2 linked regions of the Oryctolagus cuniculus genome follow. The protein of the gene in region 1 purifies or fractionates together with the protein of each later gene. This does not show direct contact. Links are inferred from orthologs where the notes say so. Each region holds a gene or a part of one and is shown in the gene's direction. Other genes may lie near its edges.

Region 1 (6,534 bases):
ATTTTTTGACAGGCAGAGTGGACAGTGAGAGAGAGAGACAGAGAGAAAGGTCTTCCTTTTGCCGTTGGTTCACCCTCCAATGGCCGCCGCGGCCGGCGCGCTGTGGCCGGCGCACCGCACTGATCCGATGGCAGGAGCCAGGAGCCAGGTGCTTTTCCTGGTCTCCCATGGGGTGCAGGGCCCAAGGACTTGGGCCATCCTCCACTGCACTCCCTGGCCACAGCAGAGGGCTGGCCTGGAAGAGGGGTAACCAGGACAGAATCCAGCGCCCCGACCGGGACTAGAACCCGGTGTGCCGGCGCCGCTAGGCGGAGGATTAGCCTAGTGAGCCGCGGCGCCGGCCAAAGAATATTCTCTTTACCAGCATAGCTTAAGTTTATTTTGAACTATAACATTTTCTAGGTACCTGGTACTTAGCCTGTTTACTGGTTTAAAAGTAGTCTGGTTAGATAGCCTAGTGTTATAATCTGTGGACTCATCTTGTGAGACCCGTACCATTGGGGAGAGTGGAGCAACGATGTTCTTCCCCAGTAAGCACTGGGGACAGGCTTCAGTGAACATGTCTGTCTGTATTAATGACTGTGTACACTTTTAAAGGGCAGGCAGAAGGGGCATAACTAATTAAGGGCAAACAGTAACTATAGAACAGAACCAACACTGGGTGCCATTATGCCTCTCCAATCAGTTTGAAGGATAACCTTCCAGGTGGGCCTGGCCACACCCAGGAGCAGTTTACCTGATTGGCAGAAGGCATGAGTTGGGGGAAATGTGCCTGAGGCTCCCGCTGCCTGCCAGTAGTCAGGCTAACTGCATAGGCTAGGCAGGCAGTCGAAAGAGATCACTCACAGTGATCAAGGCCAGAACCTGTCATTTTAATACTTTTAGAGAGTCTTCTGCTAGTGACTTGCTTTTTTTGTGTGTTTTGTTTTTCACCTATGAAGTCTCTATGAGAATATAGAAATATATTTAGTGCAGTGGAGGATGGCCCAAGTGCTTGGGCCCTGCACCCCATGGGAGACCAGGATAAGTACCTGGCTCCTGCCATCGGATCTGCGCGGCGCGCCGGCCGCGGCGGCCATTGGAGGGTGAACCAACGGCAAAAGGAAGACCGTTCTCTCTGTCTCTGTCTCTCACTGTCCACTCTGCCTGTCAAAAAAAAAAAAAAAACTTAAAGAATATAGAAGTATATTCTATACATCTATATAATATATTATATAGTATATTATATAATATACAATATACTTTATATATTAAATAATTATATTAATTAATATACTCATATAAATTATATATTAAGTCCTTATTAGTGATTATAGAAAATAGATTAAGTCCTTAATGTAGACTGTTATCAGTGGACTGGACATGAATTTCAAAGGCCTCTTAACTGCATATAAATTGTACTTTATTGAAAATGGTTAATTATTGGTTCATCTTGGTTCATATACAACTAGCAGTAAATAAAAAGTGGTTAACTACAGATAGTATCAATATACATTTAGTAAAATTTAAGCTTTAAAACTTTTAGATAATAGTGTATGCTTATTTGAGAAGACTTCTAGGCCTATTGACATGCTCAGGAAGTTGTTTTTGTTGCTGTTTTTAAAGCTTTCTGCCAGCTTTAAGAAAATAGAAATTCTTTTGTTTTCAGCTTGCATTAAAAATTTTTTTTTACTGGTTTTGCAAAAGGTTTATGTATTGTACAGGACTTTTTTTTAAAGTATCTTGATTCCAATTTTTAATGCGATTAACTTATTTTTTGTAGAGTTCTTAAGATTAGTTCTTGTATAGGTTTGCATTTGCTTTTGTTCTGGTGCCAAAATATGCTTTTTGGTATAATAATAATGTAAGATTATTGCTATATGAATACTTATATTAGATATTACTTTGCTTTATAGCACTTTATTTGTATTCACTCACTTAGAAATTATAAAATCTAAGTAGTTTAGTAACTTGACAGGTTGATTCACTAGTATACTTATATAGACTAATACTTGAAAGTGGTCAGAATTTTTCACTTATTTTAGCCTCATTTCCTTCACATTCCTGGTATACTTGGTTTTAATTAGCAGATGAGAAATGGAAACATTTTTCATAAACATTTTAAATTGACATAATTAAAGATAGAAAAGCAGGGGATAGGATTTAGTAATTTTTTCCAAATAAGTAAAAAGCTTTCTAGCTATTAAAGTGTAAAATACATTAAGTGCAAATGTTATTCAATATGTGGTTCTTAAATCCATAAGGCTAGGACAAACCTAAACTCTTTCTAATTTTATTAGGTACTTCCCCCTCCAGCTGGTTATGTTCCTATCAGAACTCCAGCTCGAAAGCTGACAGCAACTCCAACACCATTGGGTGGTATGACTGGTTTCCACATGCAAACTGAAGATAGAACTATGAAAAGTGTTAATGATCAGCCATCTGGAAATCTTCCATTTTTAAAACCTGATGATATTCAGTACTTTGATAAACTATTGGTAAGTGATAATAGCATAATGAAATTAATATTTTTGGTTTGGGAGTTCGAATTATGGTATCTCAACATACCTTTAAAATTTTTTGTCTTTCTATAGGTTGATGTTGATGAATCAACACTTAGTCCAGAAGAGCAAAAAGAGAGAAAAATAATGAAGTTGCTTTTAAAAATTAAGAACGGAACACCTCCAATGAGAAAGGTGAATCCCAGTTGCTCATTATGTTCATATTTTTTTGTTTTAGATAATTACAGTTACCTTCTTGGTTTTTATCCAGGGATAGTGTAAGGGGAAAAAATGCATGTTTTTTTTTTAGTTTTTATTCCAAAAATCTTAAATTAATAGGAATGTTGAAAAAATGAGATTCTTTTTTTAAAAATCCTTAAGGCCTCTGTAATATGTTTCAGGCTTTAAGGCTGGTGAAATATGTGAAATATTATATTCTTGTGCTTCTACTAAATTACCATTTTTTTTTAATAAAAGATTTATTTATTCATTTGAAAGAGAGAGGAGAGGCAGAGAGAGAGAGAGAGAAAGTCTTCCATCCAATGGTTCACTCCCCAATTGGCCACAATGGCTGGAGCTGAGCCTATCTGAAGCCAGGAGCCAGGAGTTTCTTCTGGATCTCCCATGAGGGTGCAGGGTCCCAAGGACTTGGGCCATCTTCTGCTTTCCCAGGCCTTAGCAGAGAGCTGGAATGGAAGTAGAGCAGCCAGGTCTGGAACCGGCATGCATATGGGATACTGACGCTTCAGGTCAGGGCATTAACCTGCTGCGCCACAGCGCTGGCCCCCTAAATTACCCTTTTTAAATTAACTTTCTGTTACAGAAGTTCAAGTTCCAGAGTAGCTTGAATGGAAATAAACTTAGGTCACTATACAAACTGTAAAAGTGTGCAATATAAAGTAGAAAATCTTCCTGATGTAAACTGCTCACTCAAAATGCTTGTTACAAAGAAACCACCTTTTTCTCTACTTTTCCCCTCAGGCTGCATTGCGTCAGATTACTGATAAAGCCCGGGAGTTTGGAGCTGGTCCTTTGTTTAATCAGATTCTTCCTCTCTTGATGTCTCCTACACTTGAGGATCAGGAGCGTCATTTACTTGTGAAAGTTATTGACAGAATATTGTACAAACTTGATGACCTCGTTCGACCATATGTGCATAAGGTTTGTGATTTCCTGGAGTAGTGTTTCTAATAGTTTACTATTTTGATTTTTTAATATAAAAGAAATTCCACAAAAATTGACTTTTTTCACCAGATGATGTCTGTGGTATTGAAATTTTAAAAATTCTAAAAACGCAGCTGATTCTTTTCTTTTTTTCCTTAATTTATTTTGTTTATTTTTTTATTTTTATTTTTTTTAACTTTTATTTAATGAATATAAATTTCCAAAGTACGACTTATGGATTACAATGGCTTCCCCCCCATACCGTCCCTCCCACCCACAACCCTCCCCTTTCCCACTCCCTCTCCCCTTCCATTCACATCAAGATTCATTTTCGATTATCTTAATATACAGAAGATCAGCTTAGTATACATTAAGTAAGGATTTCAACAGTTTGCTCCCACACAGAAACATAAAGTGAAAAATAATAGATGATTTTTTTAAATGATGATGAAATCAGATCAGACCTATTGTCATGTTTAATCCCAGTCAGAGTCAAGTTGGGAGTTAATAATTTCTTTTTTTTTTTTTTTTTTTTTTACAGAGGATCAGTTTAGTATGCATTAAGTAAAGATTTCAACATTTGCACCCCCATATTTTGTTTATTTTAAAAGCAAAGTTATAGAGTGAGAGAGAGAGAGAGACTCCATCTGCTGGTTCACTCCCCAAGTGGCCGCAACAGCCGGGGCTGGGCCAGGCTAAAGCTAGGAGCCAGGTGCTTCATCTGGGACTCAGATGTAGGTGCACAGGCCCAAGTACTTGGACCATCTCCCGCTGCTTTCCTAGGTGCAGTAGCAGGGAGCCAGTGGAAGTAAAGCATTTGGGACTTGAACCAGTACCCATCCGGGATGCCAGCATTGCAGGCAGTGAACTAACCAGTTACACCACAAAGCTGGCCCCAAGTAGCTGATTGTATACAGTAAAAAGGGAAAATTTACTCCCTTGTAAGATGTTCAAAGCCAACCAGTTTTTTTTTTTTTTTAATTGATGTATTTCTAAACTGTGTTATTTGAGAATTAAAATCCATCTTTTTTCTGTTGGTAATTATGGTTTTTTAAACTTTTGAGTATTAGTTTATGTGGGTAATAGTTCTTAAAGTTTCATCTATATCTGAGATTTGAAATTATATATAATACACTTAATTTCTCCCTTGATTAAAAAATACTGTCAATTATAAGCTTGCTTTGTTTACTTCTGTTATGAGTGTAGCATCAGTAATTGATGTGAAAATGTAGTTCCTTTTCCTATTTCTCTTTTTCAGATCCTTGTGGTCATTGAACCATTATTGATTGATGAAGATTACTATGCTAGAGTGGAAGGCCGAGAGATTATTTCTAATTTGGCAAAGGTATTTACATTAAATTTTTTTTAAAGATTTATTTTACTTATTTGAAGGAGATACAGAGAGGTAGAGACAGAGAGAGAGAGAGAGAGAGAGAGAGAGAGAGAGAGATCATCCATCTGCTGGTTCATTCCCCAAATGACCACAATAGCCAGAGCTGAGCCGATCCGGAGCCAGGAGGTGCCTCCAGGTCTCCCACATGGGTACAGGGACCCAAGGAATTGGGCCACCCTCTGCTGCTTTCTCAGGTGCATTATCAGGAAGCTGGATTGGATATTTAGCAGCCAGGACTCCACTGGCACCCATATGGGATGCTGGCACTGCAGGCCAGAGCTTTAACCCACTGCCACAGCCACAGCCCCTAGGTTAAATTTCTAGAGAAGAAAGTTTATACTTATTGATGGGATTATCTTATTATGGGAGAGAGTTGAGGGTATTTGTGCTCATGAATACTTTCTTTTCTTTTTAGGCTGCTGGTCTGGCTACTATGATCTCTACCATGAGACCTGATATAGATAACATGGATGAATATGTCCGTAACACAACAGCTAGAGCTTTTGCTGTTGTAGCCTCTGCCCTGGGCATTCCTTCTTTATTGCCCTTCTTAAAAGCTGTGTGTAAAAGCAAGAAGTCCTGGCAAGCAAGACACACTGGTATTAAGATTGTACAGCAGATAGCTATTCTGATGGGCTGTGCTATCTTGCCACATCTCAGAAGTTTAGTTGAAATCATTGAACACGGTAAGCTGCAATATAACTGTCTTTTATGTGACATATGTCCTGAAATTTGGGCTACTGATTGAGCATAACTGCATAAGCCCATTTATTTTATGATGGGATTTATGATATCATCTAACAGGCTGTAGTTCCTACTGGCTTTTGCCTAATACTGTCTAACGTGAACAGATTTTATAGTTTGGCTAAATGGTTAGAGCAAGCTAGAATCTGGATGACATTTTAGAAATTAAGTAATGTTGATGCATAGTTAAAACCTGTGATTGATTTTATAGGTCTTGTGGATGAGCAGCAGAAAGTACGAACCATCAGTGCTTTGGCCATTGCTGCCTTAGCTGAGGCAGCGACTCCTTATGGTATCGAATCTTTTGACTCTGTGTTAAAGCCTCTGTGGAAGGGTATTCGCCAACACAGAGGAAAGGTAAATATGCTAGTTAGATTTTTTCTTTTGATTTCTATTCATTAAAGTTAAAGTGATACAATTGAAGTATTATGTATTTTTTATGTCGAAATAGGGTTTGGCTGCTTTCTTAAAGGCTATTGGATATCTTATTCCTCTCATGGATGCAGAATATGCCAACTACTATACTAGAGAAGTGATGTTAATTCTTATTCGAGAATTCCAATCTCCTGATGAAGAAATGAAGAAAATTGTGCTGAAGGTAACTGTTCCAGATGGTTCTGGATTTGTTAATCTAAACTGGGTTTGTTCTATGCTCCAAGGTATTTTAAGGCATTTTTTAGAAAAAAATGTATGTTGTTACCAGTACTGTATTTTGATTTGTTACTATTTTTTTAACCATTTAGGTGGTGAAAC
Region 2 (7,277 bases), on another chromosome or scaffold:
TCAGAATATATAAGGAACTTCCATAACTCAAGAGGAAAAAAGCAAATAACCTGATTTTAAAAATGGACAAAGGAGCTGAACAGACATTTCTCCAAAGAAGATGTACAAGGGGCAAATAATCACATGAAAAGATGCTCAGCATTACTAATTATTATGGAAATGTAAATCAAAACCACAATGAGATATCATATCGCAGCCCTCATGATGGCCACAGTCAGAACAAAAATTAATAAGTGTTGGCAAGATGTGAAGAAATTAGAACCCTTGTGCACTGCAGGGTGTGAATGTAAAATTGTGTGGCCATTATGGAATACAAAATTTATTCCATTTTGCAAAAAAGTATTTGATTCAGCGATCTCACTTCTGGGTATATATCCAAAAGAATTCAAAGCAGGAACTTAAAGAGATACTTGCATGCTGATGTTCATAGCAGCATTATTTATAATAGTCAAGAGGTGGAAGCAGCCCAGATGTCATGTCAGCAGATAAAAGGATAAAGAAAATGTGGGGGCCGGTGCTGTGGTGTAGCAGGTAAAGCTGCCGCCTGAAGCGCTGGCATCCCATATGGGCACCGGTTTGGTTTGAGACCCGGCTGCTTCACTTCCAATCCAGCTCTCTGCTATGGCCTGGGAAAAGCAATGGAAGATGGCCCAAGTCCTTGGGCCCCTGCACCCGCGTGGGAGACCCGGAGGAAGCTGCTGGCTCCTGGCTTTGGATTGGTACAGCTCCAGCCATTGCAGCCATCTGGGGAGTGACCCAGCAAATGGAAGACCTCTCTCTCTCTCTTTCTGCCTCTCCTTCTCTCTCTGTGTAACTCTGACTTTCAAATAAAATAAACAAATCTTAAAAAAAGAAAATGTGTACACACACACACACATACACACACAGAAGAATATTATTTAGCCTTTAAAAAGGAAATCCTGTAAAAGGTACAACGTGGATGAACCTTGAAGACAGTGTACCAAGTGAAATAAGCCAGTCACAGAAGGATACAAACTGTAGGATTCCACTCCTATGATGTCTATGAGTGAATTTTTGTTAGTAGATACAGAGTTTCAGTACTGTATAATGAAAAAGTTCTAGAGATCTGTTGAATGTGATTATATATATATTTTTTGACAGGCAGGAGTGGACAGTGAGAGAGAGAGACAGAGAGAAAGGTCTTCCTTTGCCGCTGGTTCACCCTCCAATGGCCGCCGCGGCCGGCGTGCTGCAACCAGCGCACCTTACCGATCCGATGGCAGGAGCCAGGTGCTTCTCCTGGTCTCCCATGGGGTGCAGGGCCCAAGCACTTGGGCCATCCTCCACTGCACTCCCTGGCCACAGCAGAGAGCTGGCCTGGAAGAGGGGCAACCGGGACAGAATCCGGCGCCCCGACCGGGACTAGAACCCGGTGTGCCGGCGCCGCCAGGTGGAGGATTAGCCTAGCGAGCCGCGGCGCCGGCGAATGTGATTATATTTAACACTACACTTAAAACTGCTAAGATGGTAGATTTCAAAGAATGGTAAAGATGAAAATTTTACCACAATTAAGTAAAAATTTAGTAGCAAAAAAAGATAGGGTTGGATTTCTATGTATAAATTTGGGGATGGGGCCAGTGCTGTGGTATAGCAGGTAAAGCTGTTGCCTGCAGTGCTGACATTGCATATGGGCACCAGTTAGCGTCCCAGCTGCTCCATTTCTGATCCAGCTCTCTGCTATGGCCTGGGAAACAGTAGAATATGGCCCAAGTCCTTGGGCCCCTGAACTCAAGTGGGAGACCCAGAAGAAGTTCCTGGCTCCTGGCTTCGGATCGGCACAGCTCTGGCCGTTGCAGCCATCTGGGGAGTGAACCAGCAGATGGAAGACTTCTCTCTGTCTCTGCCTCTGCCTCTCTGTAACTCTGCCTTTCAAATAAATAAATAAATCTTAAAAAAAAAGATGGGAACTTCTTACTATCTTGATTTTTACAGATGAGAAAATTTAGGAGTAGATGTAAGGAATATATTTAAGATCCTACATAGCCAATTCCCAATCGATTATATTCCAAAGCTTGTCTCCAATTACTGACACACTGAGCTGGACAAGGTCAACTTGAAGAAGGGGAACAGGTGTTATTCTAAATGTCTCAGTAGGAGGCAGTAGGGCAGGAATTATGCCAGATTTGCACATCAGATGGGTGATTCTAAGGAGGGGCTGGGGGGAAACAGGCAATTTAGTAATTAGGTATCTCAGCAATTTTAATTTGAAGGAGACAGGAACAAAGCTAAGTCAGGGACATTATTCAGTCACTCAAAAAAAATGGGAGAAGTTACTTTGCTGCTGTAATGTGTACTTGAGAGAAACATTTTTTCTTGGCCTTATACATGGGCCTTGTATGTGAACATCACAGTCCAAATATTAGTAGAGCTAGTTTTCACCTTCTCAATCCTCACTTTCATTGTCATAGTGTAATTCCTCATCACTTTGTACGTAGATTATTGTGATACTGTATTGCAGCTTTATCTTTTAATCCTTTAAACTACAAACCACAACAATTTACCTAAACCACAAAAGGGGTCACAACAGGCCACTACCTAAAAGCGTTCAAGAGTCCCCCATTACACAGAACAAATCTAAGTGCCTTAATATGGCATATCATTCCTAGCCCCAGACTATCTCTACGGCATTATTCCTTGATACTCTGGATTTGCAGTTTATATTGGATTGTCAAAATTCCTTCTGTTCGTATTGATGACTGCTACACCTCAGCAAGGGGCTTCGGCAACCTTTGATGCCATTTCCAAGACCTAGAGTTATCTGACCCCTGAGCTGTGCAGTGTTCACCAAGCCTCACTACCAAGAATTCACTGACTCTTGTAAAGAACCACACCAGAGCGTCTGTGCGAGGACCCAGGCTCTAGCTGTGGCTACACAAGAAAAACAGTAAATTAAGCCTGTTTGAAAAAAAATATCTTGCTGTTCTCAGAATATTATCAGTCCCTTTGCTTACTTAGTCTGATCTGCTTGCAACCCCATGGCCACCCTTCTTCACCTTGTTAAAGGCTATCTTCCTTCAAAACTGGAGCATCATAAATTGCCTGAATCCCCAAGTGGACTACACTTCATCTTTGCCTGCACCATGTTATATTATTTGTGTACTGGTCCTATTCTGTGCCCCCACAGTGAACTCCTTAGGGACAGAAGTTACACCTCCGCATCCCCAGGAGTTAGGTTCACTTAGGGCGCCAGTAGTTGTGAATGGATTTGTGTAAGGCAGTGATAGGTGAAGCCACGATGGGAGGTGGAGCCTGAAGGCAGTCCAATGGGAAGCGACGCGAGCAGCTCTGGGCGGAATGCGGCTTCGGGAACGGATGATGAGAAAGATGGAGAGGCCCAAGACATTGCACCATGGCGCAGAGGGAGACAGTGAGAAAGCAATGGGGAAGCTCTGTGAGCGAATAATTTCCAGGGCCGGGAAAGAACTCCGGAGCACTTTTTCCGGAAGGACGTCTTTATCTGGACAGGGTTTTGGCAGACGAGCCACAGAAAGGAACCCCATGCCCTGAGTCTCGGGTCCGCGCGAGCCGAGGCTTTGTTCCTTGTGCGCCTGCGCGCGCCCCCGCTGCTCTTAAGCACGCCTTTTCCGGCCAGGTCTTGGGGGGAGGGGGAAGGCGGAGCAGCATTGGCAAAGATGGCGGCGCCGGAGAGTGTGATGTTTTCCGAGAAACGTAGGTAAGCTCTGCCGAGGGAGGTGAGTTGGCAAAATAGGGGGATGCAGCGGGCCGAACCTGGGCACGGAGAATATACTCACAGGAAGGAAAGGAGCTGGGCTAAGCGAGGGAGCCAGCGCAGCAGTTCGAAACCTTTCTGGGGCTCGCGCTGAACTGTCATGGGCGTCCGTGGGCTCAGTGAGTTGAGGAGGGGAACAGGTGGCGGGTTGGAGAAGAGCTGGAGTATGGGCGTGGAAGGACAGAGCCATGGGAGCTCCGTGTTCTGCAGTTAACGGGGAACAAGACTTCTCTCCCGAGCGATTTGCTGTAACTGGTCCTAGAAGAGAGCGAACTCGGGCAGCGCTGCAGTTGGGGCCGCTGACGCTGATGCTGTGTGTGATGGTGAATCTCAATCTTCCAGCCACAAAAAGTACAGGGCAGCTCTGAAAAAGGAGAAACGAAAGAAACGGCGGCAGGAACTCGCGCGATTGAGAGACTCAGGTAGTGAACTCTTTATCCTGTTTGCTTCTTTTCCTCCTGCCCTAACTTCATAACGCACTTTCAAAAGGAAGTCAGGCTGTGGCTCCTGCCTCCCAGCTGTGTTAGCTGTGTCAGAAACAATGTTAACGAATTACGGAGGGGGAAAGTCACAAAGAGTTAACACTTACTGATGCTGCTTCAGTGTTTATAAAGTAATGTTACAGGGGCAGTCAGCATGAATTACAGTAGCTAGGACAAACCTTGCACATAGGAAGTAGTCAGTGAAAGAAACTTTTTTCTTTTTTGGTTAAGTCAGCAGGAGTCCAGCGATTTAGTTAGACATTTTGCAACTTTTACTCACAGTTGAGTAAAATAAGAAACCTTATATTGGTCTCAAACTACTATATTATTTAAGTGTTTATAAGCATAAAACTAGTGAAATTTAATAGATTATACAATAATACATTTACTTAAAAATTATAAAACCAAATGAAATTACACATCTTAGAATTAAAATATGCATTAATGTAATGCTAGGATGACGTGAAAGATGCTCCCTACAGCATGCATATGATGCTGATGAGAATTTGGAATGCTTCTATGATGGTTGGCCTATTGTTTTGTTTCAATTAAACTGTAGCAGAATCTTCAGTTGTACAGCTGAACATGATGTCATTTGGCCTTCACATGGCAGAACCTAACATTTATGTATTATACCTGCCTGTTTAATACAATAAAATTATGATTTAGTTAAAAGATTATATAATAGTTGTAAATGCAGCTGGGGTCACCGAAATCACACAGCAGTAGTGCTTTATAATGGTTGCCATCCAGATTATTCAAATATGCTAATTATATTAGCCTAGACAATTTTTAAGATTTTATTTTTATTTATTTATTTTTAAAGATTTATTTATTTATTTGAAAGGCAGAGTTACAGAGACGTAGAGGCAGAGAGAGAGAGAGAGAGAGGTCTTCCATCCGCTGGTTCACTCCCCAAATGGCCTCAACGGGTGGAGCTGGGCCAATACGAAGCCAGGAGCCAGGAACTTCTTCTGGGTCTTCCGCTTGGGTGCAGGGACCCAAGCACTTGAGCCATCTTCCACTGCTTTCCCAGGCCACAGCAGAGAGCTGGATCAGAAGTGGAGCAGCCAGGACTCTAACTGGTGTCCGTAAGGGATGCCAGCACTACAAGTGGTGGCTTTACCCACTACACCACAACACCGGTCCCTCTTTTTATTTATTTTTGTCATTTGAAAGGCAGAGTGACAGAGAGAATCTTACATCCACTAGTTTACTCCCTAAATATCTACAACACACAATGGCTGGAGCAGGGCCAGGCCAAAGTTAGGAGCCCTGAACTCAATCTGGATCTCCCATGTGGGTGATAGGGGCCTAAATACTTGAGCCATCTTCTGCTGCTTTCCCAGGTCCATTAGCAGGAGCTGGATGAGAAGTGGAGCAGCAGGGACTTGAACTGGTGCTCATATGGAATGTGTTGTAGCTTAACTCGCTGCACCACAATACCAGCCCCTGTTACATTCCCTTAAGGTCACTTCAGATCTGATCCATTTTTCCTCCACTTTCACTGTTTCCTCAAATTTAAGTTTTGAATAGGGAATGATATTAATTTTTATTGTATTAAAAATCATTTAATGGGGGCCAGTGCTGTGGCATAGTGGATAAAGCCACTGCCTGCAGTGCTGACAGTCCATATGGGCGCCGGATTGAGAACTGTCTACTCTACTTCTTTTTTTTTTTTTTTTTTTTTGACAGGCAGAGTGGATAGTGAGAGAGAGAGACAGAGAGAAAGGTCTTCCTTTTCGCCGTTGGTTCACCTCCAATGGCCGCCACAGCTGGCGTGCTGTGGCCGGCGCACCACGCTGATCCGATGGCAGGAGCCAGGTGCTTCTCCTGGTCTCCCATGGGGTGCAGGGCCCAAGCACTTGGGCCATCCTCCACTGCCCTCCCGGGCCACAGCAGAGAGCTGGCCTGGAAGAGGGGCAACCGGGACAGAATCCGGCGCCCCGACCGGGACTAGAACCCGGTGTGCTGGCGCCACTAGGTGGAGGATTAGCCTATTGAGCCGTGGCGCCGGCCAATCTATTCCACTTCTGATCCAACTCTCTGGTATGGCCTGGAAAAGCAGTAGAAGATGGCCCAAGTCCTTGGGTTCCTGCTCCCACGTGGGAGATCCGGGGGAAGCTCCTGGCTCCTGGCTTTGGATTGGTGCAGCTCCAGCCGTTGCGATTATTTGGGGAGTGAACCAGTGGATGGAAGATGGATCTCTCTCTCTCTCTTTCTCTCTCTCTGCCTCTGCATCTCTGTAACTCTGTTTTCAAATAAAGAAATAAATCTTTAAAAAAAATGGGACTAGTCTCAGTGTTACCAAAAAAAAAAAAAAGAAATCATTTAGCTATATTTTTCTTAAAGTGTCTTAGTGGGCAAAATTTAAAAAAATTGTATCATAAATATCCATTAATATCCATTAATCCTTTAGATTTGCCAGTTGTTAACATCTGGCTTTACTCCCTCTCTGTTTATATGGAGAGATAAATACATAGGGAATTTATTTTCTGAACTCTTCATAGCAGGTGCAGATGTCACAGCACCTCATACCTGAATCCTTCAGCCTGCATCTCCTAAAGAATGAGAATGTTCTCTCATAGACCCACAATATCAAGCTTGTACCTAAATAAATGCACAGTGATTCAGCGATATCACATAAAACCTATCATTAACCTTCCCCCAAATGGAATTGATTGTTTTGAAAAGCTCAAGCTAGTTTTCTTGTGGAATGTCCTGCATTGTCCATCAGGCTATCCTCTCATGAATAGCTTAAGGTTACACTTTTCGTGACCAAGTCCTACAGTGCAAATGTTGTGAACGTCTTGTTGCATACATTATGAAGTCTGTACACTCTTAGTGATGCTGAGTGTGGTTAAAGTGTTGCTCCATTGTCAGGGTGCATTTTCTCCATTGCAATGAGTTTTCATCTGTGGGATGATGTTTTGAGATGGTATAAATATTCTCTTCTCAACAAGCTTTTATCTAAATATGTCTTAAGTTTATTACTGTGGGAGTTGTAAAAGTGACTTTTCTATTTAAGTCTTTTTGTGTTTTTT

Evidence for each region.
Region 2: the proteins of SF3B1 (region 1) and ZRSR2 purify together in Homo sapiens (affinity purification with mass spectrometry; 3 studies listed by BioGRID and IntAct, counting the BioPlex papers as one, with this or other methods). This does not show direct contact. The link is inferred for Oryctolagus cuniculus from reciprocal best matches to the Homo sapiens genes SF3B1 and ZRSR2.

What each region holds. Positions count from the first base shown.
Region 1 is NC_091434.1:42,848,332-42,854,865, forward strand, and holds part of SF3B1 (splicing factor 3B subunit 1), read left to right. Parts: intron 1-2,279; coding exon 2,280-2,477; intron 2,478-2,573; coding exon 2,574-2,675; intron 2,676-3,461; coding exon 3,462-3,641; intron 3,642-4,902; coding exon 4,903-4,989; intron 4,990-5,452; coding exon 5,453-5,723; intron 5,724-5,992; coding exon 5,993-6,138; intron 6,139-6,232; coding exon 6,233-6,379; intron 6,380-6,524; coding exon 6,525-6,534. UniProt on the Homo sapiens protein: Component of the 17S U2 SnRNP complex of the spliceosome, a large ribonucleoprotein complex that removes introns from transcribed pre-mRNAs.
Region 2 is NC_091453.1:1,926,653-1,933,929, forward strand, and holds the start of ZRSR2 (U2 small nuclear ribonucleoprotein auxiliary factor 35 kDa subunit-related protein 2), read left to right. Parts: upstream 1-3,306; 5' UTR 3,307-3,653; coding exon 3,654-3,694; intron 3,695-4,093; coding exon 4,094-4,173; intron 4,174-7,277. UniProt on the Homo sapiens protein: Pre-mRNA-binding protein required for splicing of both U2- and U12-type introns. Selectively interacts with the 3'-splice site of U2- and U12-type pre-mRNAs and promotes different steps in U2 and U12 intron splicing.